Cricetulus griseus: one gene and its partners. The protein of the gene in region 1 purifies or fractionates together with the protein of each later gene. This does not show direct contact. Links are inferred from orthologs where the notes say so. Each region holds a gene or a part of one and is shown in the gene's direction. Other genes may lie near its edges. The genes, in order: Hat1, Asf1b and Nasp.

Region 1 (3,646 bases):
CTTGCTACTTAATTTAATGTAGTTGCACCATGGGGAAACATAAAAGATGTGTGATATTCAGAAATGAAAGAAGGATCAAAATTGTGTCCTTACCATATTCTTCAAGAATTATTATTGGAGGGTAGTAAAAGCTGTTGGATTGGGTTGGAGAGATGGCTCAGAGGTTAAGAGCACCAACTGCTCTTCCAGGGGTCTTGTGTTCAATTCCCAGCAAAAACATGGTGGCTCACAACTATCTGTTATGAGATCTGGTGCCCTCTTCTGGTGTGCAGATATGCATGGAAGCAGAATGTTATATACATAATAAATAAATAAAATATTTTTTTAAAAAAAAGCTGTTGGGGAATGTTGCTGTTGGAATGTACAGTTGCTACATTTGGGGAATATGGGAAGACTTGGAGTAGAGAATAAAAAGGGGGCTTGATTAAAACACATTATATGCTGTATGAAATTCTAAAGCAATGAATTAAAAAGTCTTTTAAGCCAGGCAGTGGTGTCGCACACCTTTAATCCCAGCACTTGGGAGGCAGAGGCAGGCGGATCTCTGAGTTCGATGCTAGCCTGGTCTACAGAGTGAGTTCCAGGACAGGCTCCAAAGCTACAGACAAACCTTGTCTCAAAAAAACAACAAAAATTCTTTTATTTTTTTATTTTTTCCTTTTATTTATTTATTTTTTTTACAAAAATTCTTTTAAAAGAAAGTGATAGCTGGGCTGGAGAAATGGCTCAGTGATTAAGAGCACCCACTGCTCTTCCAGAGGACCCGGGTTCAATTCCCAGCATCCACATGACAGCTTACAACTGTCCATAAATCCAAGATCTGATACCCTCACACAGACATACATGCAGGCAGAACACCAATTCACATAAAATAAAAATAAATAAATAAATACATACATACATACATGAAGACATGGGCCACTAGGCCCAGTGCCTTAAAAAAAATAAACTGATGGTTGACCTTGGAATCCTTAGCTACCAAAAAAATGAATGCATTTGAAATTATTGTCCAAACCTGAATATTTTATTTATATGGCTAATTTGACTGCAGTTAAAATGAAGATGCATGTGGTAACATTCCAGTCAAACAATGGATGTGTAAAATGAGCAGCTCTCATTTCATAAATAGTATAAATGTCTTTGTAAAGCATACCTGCCATTTTACTTAATACAATAGTTATCAGAAATTATCTTAATATTGTGACTTTTGGGTATATAATTTTCTTTTCAGAATGTTACCATATTACTGAGATTATAAATGGTGGTGGAACTGTGTTGGGTAAGGGCAGTGACATATTTTTCTTTTCTTTTTTTTTTAGCTGAAGATCCATCCAAAAGCTATGTAAAACTAAGAGACTTTGTGCTTGTGAAGCTTTGTCAAGATTTGCCCTGTTTCTCCCGGGAAAGATTAATGCAAGGATTCAATGAAGATATGGCAATACAAGCACAACAGAAGTTCAAAATAAATAAGGTATTTTTTGATTTTTAGCTTGTAGGCGATAAACATCTAAAAAATAATTTTAAGTACTTGACTAAACTATTGTAAGGACATTAAGATGTGTGGGAAGCAACAGTGGTTAGACTGTAGGTTCTGAAGTCATATGTCCAGGTTCCAGCCTACATCTAGAACTTGGCTCTGTCTCCTAAAGCAGTTTAGTTTATGGTTTGTACCTCACTTTCCTAATTGACAGAGTGATGAGGGAATACGTTACACTGTACTACTAAGTATTCACTTTCCTTATTGATAAATGAGAAGAGAATATTTTTTTTTGTTGTACTAAGTATAATAATCAGAGCAAAGATGAGTAAAAGGATAAACTGTACTGGCGGAATGGCTTAGTGGGTAAGGGAGTTTGCTACCAAGCCTAATGACTTGAATTTAGTCCCCAGGATCCACATGGTGAAAGTGGAAAGGCAACTCCAGAAAGTTGTCCTCGGAGTTCTAACATGGCCCTTGGTACAAGTCTTGTACCACCACCATCCCCATATGAAAATTCAGTAAAATCTTTTTTAATTTAAGTTTTTGGGTGCAAGATTTTATGTGTATGTTGTTTTGCCTACATGTATGTCTATGCTATATGTGTGCCTGGTAACCAAGGAAATTAAAAGGTATCTGATCCCTTGAAACTGACAGTTGTGAACCACCATGTAGGTACTGAGAATGGAACCAGGTCTTCTAGAAGAGCAGCCAGTGCTCTTCTAAGCTGTCTCTCCAGCCCTAAAACACTAAACTGTGAAGTGATTCTATCCCTGGAGATGTATTGGTAGAAAAGTAGTAAGAAAATGTGTAATTTTCATTTTCTATATTTTTTTTTAATGTTGGGGGGGCAATACACTTTCTTTTGTGCAAGTGTGAAGGTCAGTGGTCAACTCCCTAGAATTGATTTTCTCCTTCTACCTTGTTGGCTCCAGGGATTAAACTCAGGTAATCAGGGTTGGCTGCATATATCTTTACCCACTGAGCCATCTTGCTAGCTCCCATTTTTTTATGCTATATATTTGTTTAAATTTTAAAGTAGTAAATATAGGGATAGGAAAAACATGGGATGTCAAAGAAGTTATATATGTTAGTACATATTTATGAAAGAGATTCAGGGCACTTCATGGGGAAGGCAGTGCTTTTTTTCACATTCAAATGAGTTTTAGTGTGAAAATTCACATTGTAACTAATAAAGTTAATAGAATTTCCATTTGTGGTGGGGTTTCAAGACAGGGTTTCTGTGTAACAGCCCTGGTTGTCCTGGGATTCAGTCTGTAGACCAGTCTGGCTTCAACTCACAGAGATCCACATGACTCTGCCTTCCAAGTGCTGGGATTAAAGGTGTGCACCACCACTGCCTGGTGAAATTTCCTTCTTGATGCATTCAACTCTTGCACTTCTTTTTCTAATTTGTCTTGGCAGAATAGCCTTTTGTAAAAACTAAAGAATGGGTAGGGGTTGGAGTATGAAATACATGGGTTCAGTGTTAAGGAAGCCATTTGATACTGCTGGCCACCTTGGCTTTGAGAGCTTCATGGTTCCTGTAATCCGTGCACATTTTAACCCTAATTGTAACACTTCTGCTAGTTTCTATTCTTTTTGTTTGTTTGTTTTGTTTTTTTCAAGACAGGGTTTCCCTGTGTAGTTTTGGAGCCTGTCCTGGAACTAGCTCTTGTAAACCAGGCTAGTCTCTAACTCACAGAGATCTGCCTGCCTCTGCCTCCCAAGTGCTGTGAGGTATGCCCCATCACTGCCCAGCTAGTTTTTATTCTTTCAGGTGCTTTTTTTTTTTTTTTTTTTTTTTTAGGATTTTTTAATTTATTATGTATACAACATTTTGCTTCCATGTATATCTGCACACCAGAAGAGGGCACCAGATCTCATAACAGATGGTTGTAAGCCACCATGTGGTTGCTGGGAATTGAACTCAGGACTCCTGGAAGAGCAGTTGGTGCTCTTAACCTCTGAGCCATCTCTCCAACCCTCAGATGCTTCTTAAATGTAACTCTTCTTCATACTCATTTTTCCCTCATTCTTCTTGGGAGATTTCATCTAAACCATCAAATCTAGAGTATGGTTTTCAGAACCACAGCCAAAAATCTGCTGATTACTTTCAGCAATACAATGTGAACTGAAACTCGCTATCTTCTGCCCATTAGTGGCTTC
Region 2 (3,832 bases), on another chromosome or scaffold:
AGCACTGGGTTTTCCTTACTTTTTACATGTTAGTAAGTAATTATGAAAGTACCACACTTGTTGGTTTTTAAGTTTCTAGATGTATCTAATTGGTGGATTTGTAAACTCAGTGAATATGAAGATGGGCTGTGACTTCCAAATGGTGCTGCTATGTCCAGTCCAGTGTCTAGGCTCATTGGCAAGTGCTAAGGAAATCATGATCCATTACCTCCCTCCTACTGTTTCCCCTATTCCAAGCTACCTGCTCCCCTAACACTCCTGCCTGTTGAGCCAAGGCCTCTTCCAGGGCACATAGCCTGGCCATTGAACATCCCCACTGGGGATGCTCTGCTCTGTGTCATGGATTTGGCTAAGTGTAGGTGTTTTCATTTGCATTGGTTTCATATAACATAGTTGCTCCATCCAGAGCCACACACCCTGATCTGTGATTCTGTTCTCTGTTGCTGGGATTAGTCATCCTGTCCAGGATGACTCCTGACTGGCTTCCCTGCTTCTGCTCAACCTTCTGCAGCTAGACCTCCACATACCTGCACTCTTTTCAGACCTTACCTCTTCTAAACACTGCTCTTTCCCAAGCCCTGAATTTCCCCAGCAGGCCTGGGGCTGCCTCATATCCACCTGACCAACTTCATCTCTTGTCAGTTCCTTTTTGCACCACATTCTGCCTAAACACCCTTGTCTCCTAGTCACATTCCGAAGTTTTGAATTTACTTACTTATTTTTTCCGAGACAGGGTTTCTCTGTGAAGTTTTAGAGCCTGTCCTGGCACTTGTTCTGTAAACTAAGTTGGCTCGAACTCAGAGATCTGCCTGCCTCTGCCTCCCAAGGGCTGGGATTAAAGGCATGTGTCACCACTGCCTGGCTGAATTTACTATTGTTGTTACTAAGACTAAGGACAGAAGGTAGGACTCTGCATACTGAGCAATCATGTTGCCGAGTCAAATTCACCATCTCTTTGTAGCTACCTGTTTGGTCAGTTTTTTTAGTCCAGTTCTTTGGTAGTCTTTGAGTCATGAGTGGCAGTGCTAAAGCCCAGGATGTGTCTCCCCAGGCTGATGCCCCCAATCCATCCCTCATTCCTGAGACCGACGCCGTGGGTGTCACTGTGGTTCTCATCACCTGCACTTACCATGGACAAGAGTTCATCCGTGTGGGCTACTATGTCAACAATGAGTACCCAAATCCAGAGCTTCGGGAGAACCCACCCCCAAAGCCAGACTTCTCTCAGGTGAGGTCTGTCTCTGTACTTCCTGCTTCAGACAGGCCAGTTCCTTTACTGCTAAGGGAGATGGGTGCCCAGGTCAGTGAAGGTTAACAGGTCATGCTGTCTTTGAGGTAGAGCTAGGATGAAGCAAGTCTTTTCTTCTTGAGGCATGCCTGACAGGATCAGGGCTAGAGCTAGGGGGAATGTAGCACACTGTGATCCCAGCATCCCGGTCCTCAGAAGGCTGAGCTGCAAGTATCATAAGTTAGGAGGCCAGCCTTCTCTGCATAATGAGTTCCAGACCAACCTAGGCTACATAGTAAGACCCTGTTTTCAGGTGGGGAGGTGGAGGTGGGGGGGTGCTGGAGGGCCACTGGAGATAGCTTAGCAGTAAGAGCATTGGCTGCTCTTGCAAAGGACCTGGGTTTGATTCCTAGCAACCACATGGTGGCTCACAGCCACCTTTAATTCCAGTTTCAGGGGATCTATGCCCTCTTCTAACCTCCATGGGGATTAGGCACAAATGTAACAAATAGACATGTGTAGGCAAAACATTTATATAATAAAAATAAAGTTTTTTTTTTGTTTGTTTGTTTTTTTTTTAATTAAGTAGGCTGGAGAGAGGACTCAGCAGTTAAGAAACTTGCTGTTCTTCAGAACCAGGTTCAATTCCCAGCACCCACAAGCTGTTACTCTGTGCCCTCTTCTGGCCACCAAAGGCCAGACACACACACACCAGGCACACACGTGGTGCACAGATATATGTGTAGCCAGACACCCATATATATAAAACTTTTTTAAAAATCATGCTAGGCATGGTAGTGCATACTTTTAACCTCAGCACTTGGGAGACAGGGTCAGGCAGATCTCTGTGAGTTCCAGACTAACCTGGCCTACATAGTTGAGACTCTCAAAACAACCCCCCAAAAAACAAATGAACAAACCCAAGCAAAACCAGGATGAGGAAGGCCCTGTTCCTACTCCATAGTGTACAAGCATCTTTTGGGCTCAAAGTGGAGGTAGGAGGGCATCCTGGCCCTTAGGTGATAGGCACTGACACTCTTCTTGCTCCAGCTACAGCGGAACATCTTGGCTTCTAAGCCCCGGGTGACCCGATTCCATATCAACTGGGACAACAACTCAGACAGGCTGGAAGCCACAGAGAACCAGGACCCCAACCCGGACTATGGCCTTCCCCTCAGTTGCACTCCCATCAAAAGCCTGGGCCTCCCTAGCTGCATCTCAGGCCTCCTCCCGGAGAACTCCATGGACTGCATCTGATGGGGGCCAGGCTGGTCCCAGTAGGACCATGGCCAGTCTCCTTGCACACCTAGAGGGGACCTACAGGCCCTCATGCTTGGTCATCTCAAGGATTTGAGGGCCTCTAGCTGCCTCCAGACCTGTCAGCCCCAAGGAAAATATGGACCCCAACCTCTCAGCTCAGGTCCAGAAGAATCCTCTCACTTCTGACCCATCAGCCTCTAAGAAGCAGGTACTCATATGCTCATTCTTTGTGTCATTTTTTCTTCTATACTATCAGTGCCTTTGAGAAGCTCTTTGAATATCACCTTCCTTGAAGCTTGTTTGGGCAACGCTTGGCTAGCCTTTGGCCAAAGGTTGTCACTCCTTCTCACTCCAGTTCTTGGTGTCTCAGGCAAGGAATACTGGTTAGAAGGCAGACTTGGTACCACCAGTGTCCTTCCAGGGTGTCTAGGTCATTTAAGTCTAACCACTGCTAGAAAAATCCCCAAAGGTAAGCTCCCCAGGCCATGAAGGTATGGTGGGTACTTTGGTTACAGCCACCTTCTCATTGTGACTGAGCCTAGCTTTCTAAGAGGATTGCCTTGGGTAGGAGGCATGTTGGAGGTCCTGCTTCATGGAGTTATCAGGGTTTGCTTTGATGACATATTCTCATGAGCTACCCAATACTCCAGGATAAGGAGGCATTTGGCAGGCTGACCTGAGAAACTCCCACTCCATCTACCCTTACCCTAAGCCCTGGGTCCCCTTGCTGCTGCTACATGGATGCTATTGTGAGTGCAGTGTGTATATGAAAATGCTTTTATATTAAAAGTTTTGGTTGGTTTAAAAATAAAAGCACTTCATCTAGATTGTTCAGTTCTGGTTTTTTTTTTACCCCCCACCTGGCATGCCTAGAACTCACTATGTAGAACAGGCTGGCCTCAAACTCACAGAGATCCACCTGCCTCTGCCTCCCGAGTGCTGGGATTAAAGACATGTGCCATCAACACCCGGCCTGTTTTTTTGTTTGTTTGTTTGTTTGTTTTCTTCTTCTTCTTTCTTCTTTCTTCTTCCTTCTTCTTTCTCCTCCTCCCTCCTCCTTCCTCCCTCCTCCTCCTCCTCCTCCTCCTTTTTTTCTGAAACAAGACTTCTGTGTAGCCTTGGCTGCCTTGAACTTGCTCTGTAGACCAGGTTGGCCTTAAACTGAGAGATCCGCCTACCCCTGCTTCCCAAGTGCTGGGGTTAAAGACATGTGCCACCACTACCTGGCCTAAACATTAAGTGATTCTTTTTTGTTTTTTGAGACAGGGTTTCTCTGTATAACAGCTCTGGCTGTCCTGGAACTCTGTAGACCAGGCTGACCTCAAACTTACAGACATCTGCCTG
Region 3 (4,185 bases), on another chromosome or scaffold:
CAAAATCCCAGTGCTCAGGGGGCAGAGGCAGGCAGATCTCTGAATTTGAGGCCAGCCTGGTCTACAGAGCAAGTTCTAGGACAGCTAGGTCTACACAGAGAAACCCTGTCTCAAGAAACAAAACAACAATAAGGGTTCCTGATTTAAATATCTTATCTTGTTTAACATTAAAAAAAATTTAAAAAGCTGGTCAGTGGTGGTGCACATCTTTAATCTCAGCACTTGGGAGGCATAGGTAGGCAGATCTTTGTGAGCCATCAACGCCTGGCTTCCTGTACATAATTTTAAAAATTAAAAATATTTGAGACAGGATCTCATTATGTTTCTTGGTTGTCCTGGAATTCACTATATAAATCAGACTGCCTGGAACTCAGAGATCCCGAATGTCTCTAGAGTGTTGAGACTAAAGGTGTTTGTGACCACACCTGACCTTTTAAACAAGTTATTTTTATTATTATTATTTAGTTTTGTTTTTCAAGAAATGGTTTCTTGCAGGGTGGTGGTGGTGCATGCCTTTAGTCCCAGCACTCGGTAGGCAGAAGCAGGCAGATCTCTATGAGTTACAGGCCAGCTTGATCTAAAAGAGCTAGTTCCAGGACAGCCTCCAAAGCCACAGAGAAACCCTGCCTCAAAAACAAAAACAAAAAAGGTTTCTCGGTGTACTCTGGTTGTCCGGAGTCTAGCTTGGTAGATCAGGCTGGCCTTGAACTCAGGGAGATCCACCTGCCTCTGTCTCCTGAGTGCTGGGATTAAAAGCGTAGGCCACCACGCCCCACCAAAAAAGTTATTTTTAAAAGATTCCACTTTATTTTATATGTGTGAGTGCTTACTTGCATGCATATACGTGAACCATGTGTGTGCCTAGGGCTTCTGGAGGTTAGAGGACGACACTGGATACCCTGGAAGCGGAGTTACTGACAGTTGTAAAATAAGATGGGTATGGTGGAGCTCACTTGTAATTTCAGCACTTGGGAGGCGAATCTCTGTGAGTTAGAGGCCAGCCAGGGACATAGTGTGAGTCCCTTTCATATGTACTAAAGATAGAAGTAAGATAGCTAAAAAATTTAAAGTGTTTTAAGTACAGGGATTCAGCTCAACAACTCAGTGTTGGAATGTGGGTAGGGTGTCAGATGAGGGCGTCACTGGATTGGGCCAGCCAAAGGCGCGTGGATCTAGAGAGAGGAGGAAACATCCCTACTCCTTTGCCCCTCTGAGTTTTGAATCTAGCGCGATAGTTTCATCTGTAGCCAATCGTAGAGCAGCACCTTCTTTCGTCAGTAGTTGCTGAGGCCCAGAGCCACGAGTCTCTCGGGTCAGTTCTAGCCGTTGCTGTTGTACTCGTGCTCGGCTCTTGCGTTTCCATCCGTTAAGACTGAGAGGGCATACAGAAGACCTGTCACCTTCTCGGGTATCCCCGCCAGAAAGAAACCCTCGGCTACTCTTTCCACGCCCGCAGAGACTCACTGGCTCCACTTAACGTGGAGGCTCTGGCTGGCTCCATCAGAAGTTGTAGTGCCAAGATTCTGGTGCTTCTAACACGGCCAGCTACCGGGAGCAGGAAGTTCTTTTGTTGTTCGATTTTCTTTTCTTTCCAAGGAAAAGCGGGCCCGGGCGGGAAGATACCCAAACGGGAAGGGCTGCGGGGAGGTGTCCTTGTGACGGAGAGGTGTTGAGTTCTGGCCCTTTAAACCCAAGGGGGAGGATCCGGAAGTGGATGGGCGGGGCAAGCGGCCCCGATATATAAGAGGGCCCCAACCGCGCGGGGTCTCCAATCTGCCATTTTCTGTGCCTGAGTAAGTCTTTGCTGTCCTGAATTCTCTGTTCTCTCCACAGGCAGTGCTCTGCCCACCGGCCCACCGCGTCAGGGGAACGATGGCCACAGAGTCTACAGCCACTACTGCCGTCGCCGGAGAGCTGGCTTCCGCTGACAAGTAAGCCGGACTGTGGCGAGCGGGAGGCGCTGGCCAGTCCGTGGGGAGAGCTGTGGACTGGCTTCGCGGGCCGGAGGGCGGGCGGGCGGCGGGCCCGGCGGGGGGGTGGGACAGCTGCCTTTCCCTGGAGAACTGCGGCTGTCCGGAGGGAGCGGGGCTGTGGAGAAGCCCCCCCCTCAGGCGGCGCTGGCGACCGGCGCTAACGGCGGGCGGCTGGCGCCCCCTGCCCGGCTTTCCGCGGCCGCCATCTTGCCGGGGGCAGCGGCGGCTGTCTCCATCGCCTGCCCTTTTTCTTCCTCCCCCGGCCCGGGGCTGCCGCCGGTGGGGAGGCGGGGCCCCCCCGTCGCCGGTCCCCTCTTGAGCTCTTACTCTCGGCGCACTAGCGGGAGAGTCTGTAGAGGAATCTAGAAAACGACCAACAGATTTGGCGCCAAAAGAAAAAAAAAAAAAAAAAAACCTACACACGAGGATTGAGGCTCAGACCTGAGGGACCCGAGTGGGCGGGGCCTCGAGGAGGGCGGGACTTTGCACGCGTGCGTTCCGTGTCCCGGCTCTGGAGACGGGGGCGGGGCCTCGAGGAGGCGGGAAAACTCCATTGTTTGGGGTTTGGAGCGGCTCCTGCGGCAGCCGCTGGGCGCAGTGAAGTTTATCTCGTTGACTGTGTAGTTGACTGTAACCCGCGGGGTCGTTACGCGACCGAAGCCCTGCGACTCTCCGCTTTTGCTGAGAACCCTCAGGGTGTCCTTAGACTTTCCGTGTGTGGGTCGGAGATTTGGTTGCTCCAGGGGTCATTTTCACACTGATGGCTTCTTCGGTAAACGCTACACGGAGAATTCCGTACTTGCTAGATGAGTCTGCTAAGATAAAAGGACCCCCCCCCCCCCAAGAGGGAATAATTGCTTTGAGAGCTTCACAGTGCTAATCAAACATGAGCTACTTTTTTGGATAGTGCACAGAAACGGCCCATCATTTGGAGGAAACAAGTTTTCCGTACAGTAGGTCCTACTTTCCAATCTTCCCTTGTCTTTTAGGTGCCTGCTAATATTTTTTTTTTAATTTATTTATTAGTTCTAGTTAGGGAACAAGCTTGTTCACATGTAAATCCCTTCTCTCTCTCCCTCTCCCTCCCCTCACCCCATCCCTCCTCCCCCACCCCCAGCCTACCCCCACTCCATCCACCCACCACTCCCCAGGCAGGGTAGGGCCCTCAACGGGGGGCTCTGCAAAGTCCACCAAATCTTCCTGTGCCTGCTAATATTTTTTTCCGTCCCTGTACATTTTAGAAGTTTTTCCTCTGGTAAAAGTAAAGTTGGCTGTGGGGTTTTTGAGTGTTTTTTTTTTTTTTTTTTTTTTGCTGTAGGTTTAGGCATACTAGTTGACTTTTCAATTAGTACAGTTGTACCAGATATTAACGTATCTTTGCATACTTTACCTGTCACCTTTTGGTTCCTTTTCTAGTGGATTCTTGAAAAGCAGTGTTTCTCAAATCACCAATTTCCTGCCTCCTCATTGATTTCTTAGGGCCAGAGTAGCTTGAGTTAGGAAAATCTGTAGAATTTATTTATTTCAAGACAGGGTTTCTCTGTGTAACAGTCCTAGCTCTCCTGGAATTCTCTTTGTAGATCAGGCTGACCTCAAACTCACTGAGATCCACCTGCCTCTGCCAGTTTGGCCTCGAACTCTGAGATCTGCCAGCCTCTGCCTCCCAAGTGCTGGGATTAAAGGAAGGCCTGTACCACCACAGACCGGCTTTGTTTTTTGTCTATAGTTTTTATTATTATTATTATTATTTTGAGTCAATTAAAAAAATGTTATGGGATTGGAGAGATGGCTTAGCAGTTAAGACCACTGGCTACTCTTCCAGAGGACCTGAGTTCAATTCCAAACAACCACATGGTGGCTCACAGCCATAGTGGGATTTGATGCCCTTTTCTGGCATGCATAAAGTTGTACATACCAGGCTGGTCTCAGAGATTCATCTGTCTTTGCCTTCCCCATGCTGGGATTAAAGACTTGCACCACTACCGACAGGCATATAACGAGGGCTCTTAACTGCTCATCTATCCATCTTCAGTCTCATTAAGTAAATTCTTATTGACTCACATGACTATAGTGTGAAGTCTTAAATTTTTCTACACGTCAGAAAAGTCAAGTTTAGAATGGAGAGATTGTCAAATTATTATTTTGAGTTTTCATTTCTTCAATTTCCATGAAAAATCTTGTCTGTCAGGAAATTGTATAATGAGTTTTTGAG

What was found.
Region 2: the proteins of Hat1 (region 1) and Asf1b purify together in Homo sapiens (affinity purification with mass spectrometry; 6 studies listed by BioGRID and IntAct, counting the BioPlex papers as one, with this or other methods). This does not show direct contact. The link is inferred for Cricetulus griseus from reciprocal best matches to the Homo sapiens genes HAT1 and ASF1B.
Region 3: the proteins of Hat1 (region 1) and Nasp purify together in Homo sapiens (affinity purification with mass spectrometry; 3 studies listed by BioGRID and IntAct, with this or other methods). This does not show direct contact. The link is inferred for Cricetulus griseus from reciprocal best matches to the Homo sapiens genes HAT1 and NASP.

What each region holds. Positions count from the first base shown.
Region 1 is NC_048599.1:103,763,259-103,766,904, reverse strand, and holds part of Hat1 (histone acetyltransferase type B catalytic subunit), read left to right. Parts: intron 1-1,319; coding exon 1,320-1,471; intron 1,472-3,646. UniProt on the Homo sapiens protein: Histone acetyltransferase that plays a role in different biological processes including cell cycle progression, glucose metabolism, histone production or DNA damage repair. Coordinates histone production and acetylation via H4 promoter binding.
Region 2 is NC_048596.1:160,448,251-160,452,082, reverse strand, and holds the end of Asf1b (histone chaperone ASF1B), read left to right. Parts: intron 1-1,051; coding exon 1,052-1,228; intron 1,229-2,278; coding exon 2,279-2,485; 3' UTR 2,486-3,315; downstream 3,316-3,832. UniProt on the Homo sapiens protein: Histone chaperone that facilitates histone deposition and histone exchange and removal during nucleosome assembly and disassembly. Cooperates with chromatin assembly factor 1 (CAF-1) to promote replication-dependent chromatin assembly.
Region 3 is NC_048595.1:35,763,491-35,767,675, forward strand, and holds the start of Nasp (nuclear autoantigenic sperm protein), read left to right. Parts: upstream 1-1,285; 5' UTR 1,286-1,408; intron 1,409-1,759; exon of another isoform or gene 1,760-1,833; 5' UTR 1,834-1,872; coding exon 1,873-1,931; intron 1,932-4,185. UniProt on the Homo sapiens protein: Component of the histone chaperone network. Binds and stabilizes histone H3-H4 not bound to chromatin to maintain a soluble reservoir and modulate degradation by chaperone-mediated autophagy.